Linked DNA regions of Xenopus tropicalis. The protein of the gene in region 2 purifies or fractionates together with the protein of the main gene of each other region. This does not show direct contact. Links are inferred from orthologs where the notes say so. Each region holds a gene or a part of one and is shown on either strand. Other genes may lie near its edges. The genes, in order: vdac3 and abcc1.

Evidence for each region.
Region 1: the proteins of abcc1 (region 2) and vdac3 fractionate together in Homo sapiens (co-fractionation; 3 studies listed by BioGRID). This does not show direct contact. The link is inferred for Xenopus tropicalis from reciprocal best matches to the Homo sapiens genes ABCC1 and VDAC3.

Annotation. Positions count from the first base shown.
Region 1 is NC_030679.2:130,615,547-130,619,466, reverse strand, and holds the start of vdac3 (voltage-dependent anion-selective channel protein 3), read right to left. Parts: upstream 2,646-3,920; 5' UTR 2,644-2,645; coding exon of another isoform or gene 2,639-2,643; coding exon 2,572-2,638; intron 1,473-2,571; coding exon 1,423-1,472; intron 1,320-1,422; coding exon of another isoform or gene 1,317-1,319; intron 957-1,316; coding exon 804-956; intron 721-803; coding exon 668-720; intron 484-667; coding exon 256-483; intron 1-255. UniProt on the Homo sapiens protein: Non-selective voltage-gated ion channel that mediates the transport of anions and cations through the mitochondrion outer membrane and plasma membrane.
Region 2 is NC_030685.2:33,870,273-33,874,092, reverse strand, and holds part of abcc1 (ATP binding cassette subfamily C member 1), read left to right. Parts: intron 1-1,204; coding exon 1,205-1,280; intron 1,281-1,399; coding exon 1,400-1,517; intron 1,518-2,487; coding exon 2,488-2,695; intron 2,696-3,063; coding exon 3,064-3,374; intron 3,375-3,820.

The DNA.
Region 1 (3,920 bases), on a different chromosome or scaffold from region 2:
CAGCCCGGTCATTATCAGCGTATAGAGATACTCAGCATCATTATACCGAGCAGCCCGGTCATTATCAGCGTATAGAGATACTCAGCATCATTATACAGAGCAGCCTGGTCATTATCGTTGTACACAGACAAAATTTGTTCAGTAGAGTGCATTAGTTATGAGCATACAGAGGTACTCATCAGTACTATACATAGCAGGCTGCCCAGGCTACAGGTTGGTACAATGCACAGTGTTACAGCTACCTTACACACTTACACATTTGTATGAAGCTGGAAGTCTCCTGCTGTATAGCCCAATGCAAAGTTGTTTTGTGCCAGTCTGGATTTAGCGGTGTCGAATGCCATCTGATAGCCAGCCAGCCAGCCCTGATAGCCAAGCACCCCCCAGCCATATATGGTGGGACCAGCCAAGTCCAGGTCTATATCAATGCCCACGTTGGCATGGTCTCTTTTGTAGGAGGTCTTTAGCTTAGCGCTCTTCTTACTGTGGGAGAGAAAGCAAGGATGTGAAAGGATGGCAAAGAAGAGTACAAAGGGCATTGAAATGATTTGGGAGAATAGTAAAAGACCATAAGGGGAGAGATGATGGGAATGGGACATAGCAGTAAAGATGGCTACTAGGGACCCCTGCCCCACCCCCTATATTTCAAGAGGAGTTTGTCACTTACCCCGTATTGGGCACAAATGTAGTGTCCACTGAGAGCTTCAAACCTGTTGCCAACTGCGCGGATAGAAGAACACAGAGAGGCAGTCAGAATAAGACAGCAGCCAACTGGAAACAGCCTCCAACTGTCGGGGTCTCACCTTATCTTCAATGGCCACTTCAGTCCCCAGGGTGTTGTCTGTGTTCCATTTCTGGGTGAAGGTGACTCCAGCCTCTTTCATCTTGTATTTTGTCTCTAGGTTGCCTGATGCTTTCCCTGTGTCAGTGTTGGATGAGCCGCTGCTTGTGAACTCCTGAAAGTAACCCCCCCATACCCAATTCAGTGTCATACAGTATAGGGTCAGAGATGTTTGTACCCAGAACATAATGGGACTGGTGTATGGGCTTTTTTGTAATCTATTTATGGCCCTCGCCTTAGTATATCACACAGGCCTGTGATTGGTTAAGAATGTATGCATGTTTATTAGGCTTAACGAGTAGGAGTGCCCCTGAAACTACATATTTTCCCCCCAATACTCCAGGTCACCCAAGTCACATGGATGCAGGCCCATTTGCTCTTGAGGACTTTTAATAAATAAGCCACACCATGGGCTTTTAGCATTAAACAATGAATGCCCTGCCAATAGAATTACAGTAAGATATTATTTCCTTACCATCTATAGGGTTTCCAGTGCCGCATGGAAAGGGAGGAAACAAGCACATTACACTGAATGCTCATACAGGAAGCACAACAATAACAACGCATTGTATCTTACTCACCACTCCACTGGAGGACTTGGTCTTGAGATCCAGCTTCACCAGGCCAAATCCTAGAGTCAGAGAATTACACTGCATTATGTTCTGCAGCAGAGAATAGGGGGATCCCCACAGGCAGCATAGGGCAGGCAGACTATGGCTCACACAGGCAGCATAGGGCAGGCAGACTATGGCACACACAGGCCGCATAGGGCAGGCAGAGTATGGCGCACACACAGGCCGCATAGGGCAGGCAGAGTATGGCGCACACACAGGCCGCATAGGGCAGGCAGAGTATGGCACACAGGCCGCATAGGGCAGGCAGAGTATGGCACACACAGGCAGCATAGGGCAGGCAGAGTATGGCACACACAGGCAGCATAGGGCAGGCAGGGTATGGCACACACAGGCAGCCTAGGGCAAGCAGAGTATGGCACACACAGGCAGCATAGAGCAGGTAAAGTATGGCACTCACAGGCAGCTAAGGGCAGGCAGAATATGGCACACACAGGCAGCATAGGGCAGGCAGAGTATGGCACACACAGGCAGCATAGGGCAGGCAGAGTATGGCACACACAGGCAGCATAGGGCAGGCAGAGTATGGCACACACAGGCAGCATAGTGCAGGCAGAGTAAGGCACACACAGGCAGCATAGGGCAGGCAGAGTATGGCACACACAGGCAGCATAGGGCAGGCAGAGTATGGCACACACAGGCAGCATAGGGCAGGCAGAGTATGGCACACACAGGCAGGGTAGGGCAGGCAGAGTATGGCACACACAGGCAGAGTATGGCACACACAGGCAGCATAGGACAGGCAGAGTATGGCACACACAGGCCAGGCAGCATAGATCTGAGGTGTGACAGGACATTACAGGTGTGAAAAATACATAGACTTACAGTCTGAATCTGAGATGGGGCAGTTAATCTCGGTACTGACACCATTTAAAGCATACACAAAAATAAGCAGTCACAGCAGCTAGACACATGGGAGGCCAAGGGCCACATGTTGGACAGATGGGGGGGGGGGGGCAAACAGAGGGGCACCAGTTGGACATCACTACTATAGGGCTTCCTGGTTCTCTTCCAAAGCTAGAGGTGATACATTTAATTTACACTGCATAGCTCAAAAACCTGTAAGTTGATATAAAATATAAATTAGTCCCAACTCACCATATCCTTTATTAAAAACATCTCGGGCGGCTTTGCCCAGGTCTGCGTATGTAGGTGGCACGGCCATGTTTACTATGAAGGAAATAATATTTACAGATAAAATATCCATGCACCAATAATAATATCATTTATAAAGTTCTTCCTAGTAAACCTTATTGACTCCTTATGCCCCTCCTACAGGTCACTCCTCTGATTGCCACTAATATAAACATATTTTTACTGGACTTCAAATAAGGCTCATAGATTTTTTTCGTACTTATTTCCCAGTTGTAATATAAACCCCCCATGTGCACCCAAACCCCTTCTGTTCCCAGTGCAAATGACTGTGCTGTAGCCTTACAGGAGTGAATGTTCTTCCCTACACACTGTACAAGGTGCTTGATGGTGCAGCAGCTACAGAACTACTGTCACTGTGTGATTGATCTGTGGAATAACCTTTCACCAACGCCATTCCTTACATTGCTCTCTGTGGCCCTTTCACTGGCTAAACTGGTTCCTGTCAGTACAAGTCGCTCTGCACAGACTGAGCCTCACGTATCTGCAGCCTGGGCTCTTGCTGAAATACAGATAGCAGCAGCTGCACAATCCCACTGGCCGCCATATATTCTGCAATCAAACTGCCTTCTACTCTATAAATTAGATGCCTGTAGGCTCTCTTGGGGTCGCTGAACTACAATCCCTCCAGAATTCCACTGAAGGCTGCCTAGGCATGCTGGGAGTTGGGAGGTTTGTCCAGTTGCCCATCATTGCTTGCATGCCCTCCAGCTGTTGGGAGGTTTGTCCAGTTGCCCATCATTGCTTGCATGCCCTCCAGCTGTTGGGAGGTTTGTCCAGTTGCCCATCATTGCTTGCATGCCCTCCAGCTGTTGGGGGCCCCCAGGCTGAACATCCCCTGTCAGTAAGTCATGTTGCTTCCCCTTGGATGTGGCCCCATAAGGCTCCCACCCACTTACAGGACACTGCTGCTCTCCCAGGAAGGAGCTGCTCTCAGGTCTCTATACACTAGGCTGGCCCAACAGGGCTGCTCACGGTGCATCACTACCTGCCTGTCTCAGTTATACACAACATGTCCCCCTTAGTTTCACAACTGTGTAACCCCCCCCCCCCCCTGGAGCCTGCACCTCTCCCCTACACACACCCCGCACACACCCACCTACACGCACCCAGCTCTGTTGCCCCCCTACCCAGCACGCTTTCTGCAGCGCTCTAACCCCACCTTTACACATTTACCCGACACACAAGTCCCCTTTGTCTGCCCACTTGTCACCTGTCCCCGGCTGAAGGTCTCTGCGTCTCACCTCTCTGCGCATGCGCTAATCCCAAACCGTGTCACGCCTTCCCTGCCATAG
Region 2 (3,820 bases):
CACTTGTCCCTGCGCCCGAAACCATTGTGTTGGCCCAGGCACAGGGACAAGAGGCAGGAAAGTTAACAGGCTGATGCCAGTCTGGGCTTTTCCACAGGTGAGAATTAGCATTAAATAGGAGAATTTGGTTTGATTACTGTACTGCTGTCACTTATGCAGGTAATGACTTTGTATCTTCTCATGTCAACAGTGATATTAAGGGGGTTGCCTCTTCTGGCTACCCCAGCAAATCATTTATTACTAGGTGAGAACCAAGGAGTAGCTTCACCTTGCAAATTGCAAACAGTCTTCCTCTTTGGCAGTACACCTGAGTTTTTATGCAACCAAAACTTTCCTCTAAGTCTTAAATTCAAAAATGAACACCTAGTTTGAGACCACTGAAGGCACTGGTTGGGGACCATTGATCTAGAATGGTGATCCCCCAACCAGTGGCTTGTGAGCAACATGTTGCTCCCCAACCCCTTGGATGTTGATTCCAGTGGCCTCAATTTTTGAATTCCTGGCTTGGAGGCAAGTTTTTGGTACTGCCAAACAGAGCCTCATGTAGGCTGACAGTCTACATAAGGGCCTACCAAATAGCCAATCATAGCCCTTATTTGGCACCCCCAGTAACATTTATCATGCTGCCCAACTCTTTTTACACTTGAATGTGGCTCACGGGTAAAAAAAAGTTGGGGACATCTGATCTAGAATATAGGTTATACTTACTACTTGTTAGGCCTGTGCTATATACAGTAACTAGATTTCTAGCCAAACACATACTCCTAAATGCACTGTCCAACCTCTTTTAAAAGGAATAAGAAGGGTAGTTCTGCATGCTTTGGGAAGTAAATGCAATGGTTAAAAACTGTCATTGCTGCAGTGGGTGACAGCCCCTTTCTGCCAGAGCATTGAATGGAATTGTTTGCTTTTGTAGTACGGTTTTTCATGTAACTGGCTTAATATTCAGGTAATTTCAAGTAATGTGTGAAAATCCTCTCCCACCATCTGGTGGTTTTTAGAAGGCACTCTGATTAGTGTAAACTTTTTGCTGTTACCCAGAATGATTCATTAAAGTGACTATTTCATCCAGTTGTATTCTGGTTCGTTGAATTGCGCAGTTGACGTGTGCCAAATATAAACAAGAAATGTAAGTTTTTTGAATAATATCCCGTATAATGAAGAAGCTTCTCTAAAATGCCACCTTTTTCCTCCACTCCCATAGAAGCACCAAGTCCAGTCCCTTCAGAAGAAAAACGTTTGGAGAATGGAATTTTAAGAAATGAAAGGAATTTACAGAGGTGTGTATCAGAAATCATGCAGTTGCAGTCATTCCACTTCTTATTGCAGCTTTAGCACATTTATCTTTTTGCATGTTAGCTCCTTAGCACTTTCATATACATTTTCTCTTTAATTTCAGACAATTAAGTGCATCCTCTGAAACCAAGTCTTTGAATCAGAACAAGACAGGAGATTTAAACAGCTCAGAAAAAGATGATTGGAAACTGACTGAAGCAGACAAAGCCAAAACAGGAAGGGTAAGCCACACCCCCTTGTCTGTTTAGTTTTATTATTATTATGATCCTCTTAAAGCAGGGGTGGCCAATACGTCGATAGCGGTCCACCAGTTGATCCCCCGTGGATTTCTGGTGGACTGCGATGAAGCCGGGGATGCGGAAGTGCCGCGTGAATGCATACGTATGCTGTGTCGCGTATATACGGCGTATATACGCCGCACTTCCGCATCCCCGGCTTCATTGGTCGATCGCGGACGAAAAAAGTCTGCCCATCCCTGTCTTACAGTGTATAGCGCAGACATATTCAGCGCACTGAATTACAGGTCAGTCCCTGCTCTAGTGAAGCTTGCAGTGTGAGATCACACAAACTTTATACAGGTATGAGTTATAGGAAGGCCATCTCCCATATTTTAATGAAATAATTCAAAAAGTTTAACATTATTTTCTTTTTCTCTGTAAAAATAAAACAATACCTTGTACTTCATCCCAACTAAGATATAATGAATCCTTATTGGAGGCAAACAGTCCAATTGGGTTTATTTAATGTTTAAAGGATTTTTTAGTAGACTTAAGGTATGGAGATCCAAATTACAGAAAGACCCTTTATCCCTTTGTCCTGAGCATTCTGGATAATAGGTCCCATACCTGTAGATAAAATTATCAGGAACCAGTTAACCTGCCTGTGTATTTGTGGAGTGTGGAAGAAAACAACCAGAGTTCCAGGTGACCACACCCTTTTTTGAGACGACTGCAAACAGCTGTAGCTGTTTAAGGTTTTAAAGGGCCAAATAATGAAGAAAATCCTTTAGAGATGAGATTCCTTCTGATCAAGCTTTTTAGTATATTTTATGAAGTTTCACTTTCATTTAACAGATGTGGACCTTAAGAGAGATTTCGGGTTTATTAATGGTGCACATGTTTTACACAAGTGTAGTATCATATTAAATCTCAGTAAGTCTCCAGGCTAAAATTTTTCTTTCATGTTTGATAGGTAAAGCTGGCAGTATTCTGGGAGTATATGAAAGCCATCGGACTGTTTCTTTGCTTCCTAAGCATTTTTCTTTTTATGTGCAACCATGTTGCATCTTTGGCCTCTAACTATTGGCTTAGTCTGTGGACAGATGACAAGGTTGTTAATGGGACACAACAAAATACTACAATGAGGCTGAGTGTTTATGGAGCTTTGGGATTCTCACAAGGTATGCTGAGGTTTCTTCTGATTGACAGTACTAAGCATTAGGCTTATCATGTATTTCTTGTGTTATTTTATAAGTAAATGGGATCATACATAGAGATAAGAAGCACAACTGTTGGTCACACTGCAATGCACTCTGTAGAGTTCTCTGGGGAAGGAAAATTTAGTGGGACACTGCTGCTGTTTTAGGGCACCTTAGGGCATCTCTCTAGCTCTTGTGGATGAAAACAACCTTTACTGAAAATGAACAGTTCTTGTCTGGTAGCTATGGGTTACTGCAAACTAATACTGCAGGGTAAAAAATAGCTTAACCTGATCATTCTGAGGCTAATGAAGCAGAAGGTAACGTGTGTCACTTTCTTCCCATTGTAGGCATTGCAGTGTACGGATATTCTACGGCTGTATCCCTAGGAGGGATTCTTGCATCCCGGTTCCTTCACACAGATTTGCTGCACAATGTCCTGCGGTTTCCTATGAGCTTCTTTGAACGGACCCCAAGTGGGAATCTTGTAAACCGTTTTTCAAAGGAAATAGACACCATTGACAATACCATCCCTCAGATCATTAAGATGTTCATGGGGTCCCTGTTTAATGTCATCGGTGCATGTGTTATCATTCTAACTGCAACCCCCATAGTCGCTGTAATCATTCCACCCCTTGGTCTGGTTTACTTCTTTGTACAGGTAAATATAAATTGAGGAATCCTTCTCATAAGATATTTATTTTGTTATTCTTGCACAGAGCAGTGTTGAGCATGCTGGTCCTAACAATATCACATTGCTGCATGATGTGGTAGATTAGTGCAGGCACACTACTGGTTTTCCAGCAGTCACTGAGAGACTGGATGAGATGAGGAGCCCTTCAGTTCTTTGGGCTAATGAGCATTTGTACTTGCCCATACGATCATCTGGCAGAATGATTTATTGACTTGCCGACCCAACAAAGTGGTTCCCTGTTGCTCTGTATTTTGACCTTAGTGCAGTCACCTTTAGCGAGAATGGTGAGCAAAGGCTGCATCAGGATATGTAGCTTGGAGGAGCAATAGTGCGTGCATGACCTTGATGTTAATGCCTGTGCTTTAAATCCTCTTCGTATGGATTTTTATAGTGATGGTTTCACTTTAAATTTA